Regions from separate parts of the Mus musculus genome. Here region 1 is reported to be linked to region 2. Evidence: microRNA targets listed by miRTarBase, many of them from high-throughput screens and not tested one by one. Region 2 holds a microRNA gene; the other region holds the end of a gene's coding sequence.

Evidence for each region. The annotated mature microRNA mmu-miR-670-5p reads AUCCCUGAGUGUAUGUGGUGAA and lies in region 2 at 2,214-2,235, opposite strand. An mRNA with a match to its seed (bases 2 to 7 or 8) in the 3' UTR can be bound and repressed. Matches are read on the target gene's strand: a 7mer-m8 pairs with bases 2 to 8, a 7mer-A1 pairs with bases 2 to 7 and ends in A, and an 8mer does both.
Region 1: the mRNA of Snrnp40 is a reported target of mmu-miR-670-5p. Seed matches in the 3' UTR shown: 7mer-m8 at 1,040-1,046 and 7mer-A1 at 1,136-1,142.

The regions. Positions count from the first base shown.
Region 1 is chr4:130,388,752-130,393,014 of GRCm38, forward strand. Snrnp40 (small nuclear ribonucleoprotein 40 (U5)) reads left to right here. Exons shown (of 10, transcript NM_025645.2): 10 at 793-1,282. The coding sequence ends at 842. Among named protein-coding and RNA genes, the nearest start is that of Snrnp40, 31 kb to the left of the region's middle.
Region 2 is chr2:94,259,145-94,263,407 of GRCm38, forward strand. It overlaps Mir670 (microRNA 670), which reads right to left and starts at 2,255; the gene lies at 2,156-2,255. All of the region lies in intron 1 of Mir670hg (a long non-coding RNA gene), which reads right to left.

The DNA.
Region 1 (4,263 bases), not on the chromosome of region 2:
GGCCGGAGTCAGTTATGTAGATCCAGTGTTAACACTTGGGTTTTGACGGCTTATGGGGTGGGGGTGGGGCTGGGACAGGTGACCAAAAAGAAGGCAATTGTCAGCATAAAGGAGACACCAGTACTACAATAACTTAACAGTTGCTTTTTACATGAGTACTCAGATAGAACTAGAAGTCTTTTTAATTTTTCCAGACACAGTTTCCAGGGTGTAGCCCTGGCTTTCTTCCTGCCTCTGCTTCCCAAGTGCTGAGATTAAAGATGTGCACCACCATTGCTAAGCCAAACTGAAAGTCTTTTTCTGCAGCTGGGGTCTCACTATGTAGTCTTAGCTGATGCTCACTATCTGTCCATGCTGGCCTCACTTGAGTAATCCTCCTACCTCAGCCTCCCAAATCCTAGGCTCTTCAGATGTGAACCCAACACTTAAACCACAGGAGGGGACCTCAGGGAGAGTCAGTTTATTAAGAATGAGCCTGGGGGCTGGAGAGATGGCTCAGCGGTTAAGAGCACTGACTGCTCTCCCAGGGGTCTTAAGTTCAATTCCCAGCAACCACATGGTGGCACAACCATCTGTAATGAGATCTTTTCTGGTGCGTCTGAAGAAAAAAAAAAAAAAAAGAATGAGCCTGGAGGTTGGAGATACGGTTCAGTGATTAAAAGCCCTGGCAGCTCTTCCAGAGGTCTTCCAAAGGCCATCTCGCCAGCCCCACCATAGTCTCTTGACACAGGGCCCTAGAGCCCCGAGGATTCCCCCAGCCTTCATTGTCTCCTCTCGATCTTTCTCTCTCAGTCCTCTCAGCATCCAGTGACAAGAGGCTGTACATGGGTGAGATCCAGTGAAGATGGGGAATGGAAGGCTCCCGGCTCCCAGCCCTGAGGCTCAGACTGCGGAATTGGCCAGAGTCCGATGGTGTCTGGGCTGACCTGCCTCAGATGACCATCATTAGCAAGCAGCTGGAGGTGATGGCCGTATTCCAGCAACCACTTGTACCACACTCACCAGAACAACTGTGGCCTCTGGTACCGCCTGCCAGATTTCAGGGATTGCTTTCTTCTCTTTGAAAAATAAGATTCCTTCAGAAGGACAAACATTGGATTGATATTTCCTGTTTTTTTTTAATCTAGGCTGGAGACAGGGAATGTCAATTAAAATTTGTTAGTTGGATTTGTTTTCTGTTTTATTTTTAAATTGAATAACTGGCTTGTATGATATTTCTTTCGGTGTTTGAGTCATTTTGTATTTGTATTAAAAATCCAAACAGATAACCTTTTTACAAAAACCTTGTGACTTGGATTTATTGCTGTCTTATCTCTGAGGCGTGACTGCTGTAAGTCAGCAAGCACACATCCGGGAGATACAGTCCATTTGCACGGCAGTGGTGCGCCTTTTCGTGGAGCTCTGTTGGTAGGTTTCTTCACTCCTGTGAAAATGGTGTTCTGTAGCTGAGCAGTGGTGGAGCACACCTTTAATCCCAGCACTTGGGAGGCAGAGGCAGGCGGATTTCTGAGTTGAGGCCAGACTGGTCTACAGAGTGAGTTCCAGGACAGCCAGGACTACACAGAGAAACCCTGTCTCAAAAAACCCAAATAAAAGAAAAAAATAAAATGGCGTTTTATAATTGTCAGGAGCAAATACTTCTCTGTAACTGGAAGCAGAGCATCCCAAAGGTCCACAAGAACCTGCTGCTCGTGTGTCTGGACACATCTCTAACAAACCGGTCCTGGAGTAGACAGGAGTGTGGCAGCCCCAGTCAGTGCCCTTGGCCAGGACGCTGCTTCCTGAGCAGTGCACGGGGACGGTGTCCGATGGGCTCTAGCCGTGGCATTTTCCAGGGCTTTTTATGATCCTGCTTTCTTGTCTAACTTTCCTGCTCTAACAGATGTTGAGAAAGCTCTCATGGGTCTGCTACTAGAAACTTCTGTCTCAAAGCAGAAGTCTTCCTATCTGAGCATATTTGGCTTTAGACTTTGAGCTTATGATCTTAAATCATATTTATCCTAAGTTACAGAGAAGGTGCTACCCGGGGTTAAGAGCATAGTCAATCAACAAACACCTGTTATGTGACAGGCAAAGTCGTCACTGCTGAGGACAGAGAAAGAAAGCATCCTGTCCTTGCCACCATGAGAAGTGCACAGACCAGTAGAGAACATTGTCGGAAATAAACTGCTTTTTTTTTTTTTAAAGTGAGCACATGCCAGAGATTTATTTAACTTATTAATGAGGAAGCCAGCGGTATGGGAAGGCTCTCAGAGCAATTACGTGTAATACAGTGAATGAAGTTTGACTAAAGCACACTGGAAACACAGGAGGAAGCGATTTATTGTGCCTGCGAGAGAACGGGGAGCATCAGAGATGCTGTGGTTATGCTTGGATGGGGCAGAGGATGCAAGGAAGACTGTCTAAAAACAGACGCGATCCTGAGGGCGTGGCCGTGTAGCTCAGTGTGACTGAGACGGGGGGGGGACACAGCAAATGGAAGAAGCCACATCCCAGAGAGCATAAACGAATTTGCCTTCTGGTACTTGCTTGCTCCTGTAGATTGAGGTGTGTTCCGCATATGCAGAGTTTAAAGATCCCATTGTCAAATACATCTGGGAAAGATGGGGTTAAACAGCGTGGAACTCATCACTTTGAGCCTTTACCATACAAAGGATTGTGTGCTGGTAGATCAGGTCAGCCATGGCACATGCCTGTAATCCCAACACTTGGAGCCAGGGGTCAGGAGAGTCAAGTTCAAGGTCATGCTCTGCTACATAGTTAGTTGGAGGCCAGCCTGAGTTTGGTCCCTAGAAACTGAAGAAAAATCCAGATGTAGAGGTGCAAGATGAGAACTGGAGACAAAAAGGGGATTGTCCAAAACGCTCTTAGGCCAGCTATCCTGAAGCACCCACACAGCATGACAAGAAATCCTGCCTCAGAACTAACACCGAGGAAGAAAAGAACCATCAAGCAGAAACATAACTCAGACGTCATATTGGTGCCCCGAGCACTAATTGTGTATATGGCTATGGTGACCTCCAGGAGAAATGTGTCCCCAAAAGGCATTCAGCCTTGTCTTCATAAATCACAAGTAGCTTAAGACCCCTTTTTAAATATAATTTTTAATCTGTGTGTGCGTGTGTGTGTGTGATTCTTTGTGTGAGTGTGTATGTGTGTGTGTGATTTTTTGTGTGAGTGTGTATGTGTGTGGGTGATCTTTGTGTGAGTGTGTATGTGTGTGTGTGATTCTTTGTGTGAGTGTGTATGTGTGTGTGTGATTCTTTGTGTGAGTGTGTATGTGTGTGTGTGATTCTTTGTGTGAGTGTGTATGTGTGTGTGTGATTCTTTGTGTGAGTGTGTGTGTGTGCACTCTGTGCATTCAGTACCCACAAAGGCCAGTAGAGGACGTTGGATCCTGGGAAGCTGTAGTTGCAAGCAGTTTTGAAACACCTGATGTGTATGCTAGGATCTGAACCCAGCAAGTGCGCCCAAGTACAGAGGCATCTCCAGCCCTCTAACCCTTTTCCTACCAGGTCCACATGCCTCAGCCCAGTCCCTTCGACTCGCGTCATTGTGTGTGTTTATAAACATGGTATGTATGTGTGGCACGTGTGACGATCAGAGGGCAGCTTGGTGAAGTTGATTCTACCTTTACGTGGGCTCTCCAGGTTAGGCTTGGGTCACCAAGCTGTGTGTGGGGGTGAACGGGATACATACACGTGCGGCGGTCAGAGAGAACTTAGAGTTAGCTCTCCTACCATGTGGATCCCTGGGGTCAAACTCAAGTTGTCAGGCTTGAGAAGGCCTTTACCTACTGAGCCTTCTCACCAGCCCCTGACACTGCACTTCTAAAGGCCTGCCAGCCCCTTGAGAGTTGGCTGGAGGGTGTGAGGCCTCTGAGACTGCAGGTGTCTCCTCTAACTTCAGCCCCTTCCCAGGAGCCATTAGCAGGAAATGGCAGTACCACTTAGGATGGAAGAGAACAGAAGCCCTAGCCTGGGAATAAAGATTTAAGCATAAAACATCTCCAGGGGGTGCAAATTGTCTCCTCACTTTGGGAGAGATAGATTACTCCCGAATGAGTAATGGCATCTCTGGCTTTCAGTTAATTTCCCTTTATGACTTCAGTCTCTAGCACTTAATACCATGGGCACTTAAAGAGACAAACTTCTTTTTCACTGGGTGGCTTGTTGTGGGCTGAATTGTGCAGGAGGTGGATTTTTAAGTCACTGTTTTGAGCCACCCCAACACACACCTGCAACCCCAGTTCTATCCCTAACC
Region 2 (4,263 bases):
TTATGCTTTGCTGCTTAGAGGGTTAGAAACAGGAGGGTAGTTGATGGAGGAAGGAAAAAAAATCATTTCTTACTGAGGTCCATCAGTAACTTGGACCATCTTCCCTTGGACCCTTTAAGCCTCAAATTCTACTCCTTCATGTCCACATGAGTTTTGACCGTACTGCCAAAGTAATTTCTGAAAACCTGTCATCCCAAGCCAGGGGATCTCTGGCTAGACTTCAAAGTGATGGTGAGATCAATAATGATTAATAAGCATTAAATCACCAGCATAGTCATTCCTGGAACATGTTGAGCACCGTTTACTTGCTTTAAGTGGTCAAACCAAAGGCACGTCTGGGCAAGAAGTCTGGCTGAGTCAAGCTTGTGTCAGGTACAGACCAGAGTAGCCGCTTCACTTCCATCAGTGGGCCTGGCATCAGTGGGGCAGGGAGAGATCAGCAGGTGGAGTCTGTCTTCAAAGCTGAGACATCTACAGGAAGTAGTGGGTTTTTCAGGGTGGAACTTGGTTAGAGAAGAAGAGTCCTCCAGCCAATCAGTAATGGAGTAGGGTGAAGTTTTCTGCTGCAGATGGAATTATTTGCTTGATGGGGAAAGACGAGCAATTGGACTCTCAGTCCGGGATCAAAGTCAATTCTCATCTCTTCCTACCAAGGATATCTTCAAAAGTATGTGACAGGTGTAGTCACCATGTGCAGCCCTGTGCTCAGCAGGGCTGAGTGCTTGGCATAAGAACCTAAGATTTGTGGCTTTGGCGTTCTTAAATTATCTTTGGAGTTGTATTCTTGTAAGTCTGTAGGGCAGTGGAGCATGCGAGTGGGAGAGACAGGTGAGATGTATTTCCGGTCTGTTGTCTGTTGTCAGGGCCCCACACGGAATGCTGTGTAAGCTCAGTCATACTCAAGGCAGGTGAACTCTAAGTCTAGGATTGATGAAACGGGGATCTTACAGTCCTGAGAGGTCGTGCTTTACACGGGAAAGGTGCTTTGAATGCAGGAGACAAGCCACAGAGCTCTATGCATCCCCAATGCCATGAGGAACCCTAGCACAGCACTTCTCATATATGACCCTTGTCCTAGTCAGGGGTACTATTGCCGTGATGAAAAACATCATGAGTAGAGGAGGAAAGGCTTCCACATCACTGGAAGAAGTCAGGACAGAAACTCATACAGGGCGGGAACCTGGAGGCAGAAGCTGATGCAGAGGTCACGGTGTGTGTGTGTGTGTGTTAGGGTGGTGGCTTGCTCATCATGGCTTGCTCAGCCTGCTTTCTTATAGAACACCGGACCACCAGCCCAGGGGTGGCACCACCCACAATGGTCTGGGCTTTCTCCCATCAATTCACTAATTAAGGAAATGCTGTATAGACTTGCCTACAGCTAGATCTTATGGAAGCATTTTCTCAGTTGAGGTTCCCTCCTCTCAGATGACTATAGCTTGTGTCAGATTGACCTAAAGCTAGGCAGCACAGACCTTCTCTGTATTTGCCGCCATCTTGTGGGGTACTGAAAACCATGCTTAGGAGAGGTGACAATGATGCCAACCATACCACTTTTCTTCTCAGACTTCCCCTACGCAACAGCAAGTCAGAGAGTACAAGTGCCTGACACCCTTACCACGAAGTGACATAAAAACAGGAATGTTCATTTTACTTGGTGTATCGTTGTCCTGGTAGGAGTGAAACACCTATGCTTGCATGGCCTACAAACCACAAGTTGTGTAATTTCTGGGATTGTGCAAACAAGCTCGATGTTCTTTTATCTGTCTTTAAAGCTAGCATCGCACAATGTAAAGATGAGTAGCAAAATTCACACTAATAATGAAAATAAAATAATGTTTATTTAGCACGACATTGAGTGGCAAGCAGTCAGCTCCACAGGGAGTCTAGAGAGAGTCTAGAGAGAGACTGTAGAAGAGAGAACCTTTCATTTCAGCATCTTTAATGGTACTTTCTTCATGATTTTTAAACAAGGGATTTTACATTTTCATTTTGTATTGGGCCCCCCAAATTATATAGCTGCCTCTGCTCGTCTCCCCTATTTCCGAGGAGAGGAGAAACACCAGGGTTATCCAAGGCACTGGAGGAAGAAAGATGGAACTTCATTCTTTTCATTGAGTGGATCTTTGTTTGAGGTCACTCTCTCCAGCGAGCGTTGAGCGAAGAGGCAGCTGACACTCCTGAATGGATATGAGGAAACCCAGGGCAAGTTCAGGTTCACCACATACACTCAGGGATGTCAGGCCCACCTCCAAACCACGTGTAGCATTCCAGAATCTCCGGACTTGGCAGAAGAGGAAGGGGGTAGCTTCCTTCTATGTTGCTTATGACCTCCTATGCGGTGAGAGCTCAGGACACACACGTTTGTTCATTTGGTCTTGATACACACACACATGCACATATACTTTTTGCACATGTCATCATATGATATATGCCTGGGCACGGGGTGGGGGGATGGCTAGTGGACATGGAACTCCTTTAGTGACAAAGAAGTGACAGAGCATATCCATTGCGATGCCTATTGTCCTTCTGGAATTCGGTCCTCAGGAGACCACAAGTAAGGGTAGCGGTTCAGGGAATGATGAAGGCCACACAGCTGAATTCCAAGGCTGGATTACTTTCTCTCTGAACCATTCTATCTCCTCTATGTCTAAGGGAAACATCTGTTAACCTAAGAGGGCAATTTCCTCTGACAAGTGCACCTCAAGTCACCTTAATGCCTCCTAGGCTGTGAAGACTATTGCTGTTCTTCCAGTGGCCAAGACATGATGGGGCAGTTCCCTAAGCAGTATCCTTGGTGATGCTGGGCTGCCTATCAATCAGACATACTGGCCTGGTTTTATTCCACACTGACAAGGGAGTGTGAGGGATGGACTCTTCCTCCCTCTACTCTCTCTACTCAGGCAGCACTGCACATGAATACAGCCTGTACCCAGCTCGCTCGCTCACTTCCTTCCTTCCTCCCTCCCTTCCTTCCTATGTCCTTTCTTTCTTTCTTTCTTTCTTTCTTTCTTTCTTTCTTTCTTTCTTTCTTTCTTTCTTTCTTCCTTTCTTCTCTCTCTCTCTCCCTCTGTTGTCTGTCTGCCCATCTGTCTGCCTTTCCCCCCCTTTTTCTAATGTAGGTACTCATTCTGCAGTCCAGGCTGGCCTCAAACTATCTATGTAGACCAGGCTGGCCTCAAACCTGTGGCCATTCTCCTGCCTCTGCCTTCTGAGGATCGGTTTACATCCACACCTTACCATGCCAAACGCTCACCTAGTCTATGTCCCTCTCCCTGCCTTCTGGCTTTTTCAGTTCCAGAGGGTGAGGCAATGGCTTGCTGGTTCTAACTCCCAATTTCCCTCCCTAAATCCCCCATCTTGTTGATATTTCCTTATCAGTTCCTTGGGCAGTGCAGCCACTTCCCTCCCCATTTTTGGAGGGGAAAAAAATCTCACAGACCATCACCTTCATTTGACCTGCCATCCAGCTGGTTCTCTCTCCCACTAACCCAGTCCAAACCTATCTTCTCCTTATTTCAAGTGCAGTTTAACCAGACATCCAAATGGCAAGCTCAGGCCAGGTCAGGTGGTGGTGGGTGGTGAGTTAATCCCACACTCAAGAGGCATAGGCAAACAGGCAGATCTCTGAGTTTGAGGCCAGCTTTGTCTACAGAATGCCAAGGCTCCCAGAGTTACCTAGAGAAACTGTCAAAAAAAAGGGGGGGAATAGTAAGCCCCTATCTATATTTAAAGATAGCTGGGCATCCCCCCCCCCCCCAACCAGGCCCCTACACATTTGTGTTACATCTCCCAGAAGTGGCTGTTATTCAGAGAACAGGCGATCCAGGATTCCTAGAAGATCGTATGCAGGGGACAGAAAACACAGCTCTTGAGCTGACAGTGCTGCCTGCTTCCCTAGATTTTAAAAAAAAAAAAAAAAAAAAAAAAAAAAAAAAAAAAAAAAAAAAAGGCTGCTTTCAGACACACGGAATCCCCATTGATGAGGTGTGGCCAAAAGCAGGCACTAGATTTTCCTCTGGGTACATACCCAGCTCGGGATGAAAGATGAGGGTCGTGACCCTTGTTCTGCCTTTTCAACACTCAGAAGGATTTGAACTGTGTTCCCCAAGGTCAAATGACTGACGTTAAAGCCCCCTACTCCACCCCTCCACTTTTCTAAGCTCCTTCCTAACAATGAATGCCCCCCTCTACAACACACAGTGGATAGACCTCCGGTGAATTAGAAAACCCTCCAAGTCCTTTTCAAACCTAATCTTGGGAGAG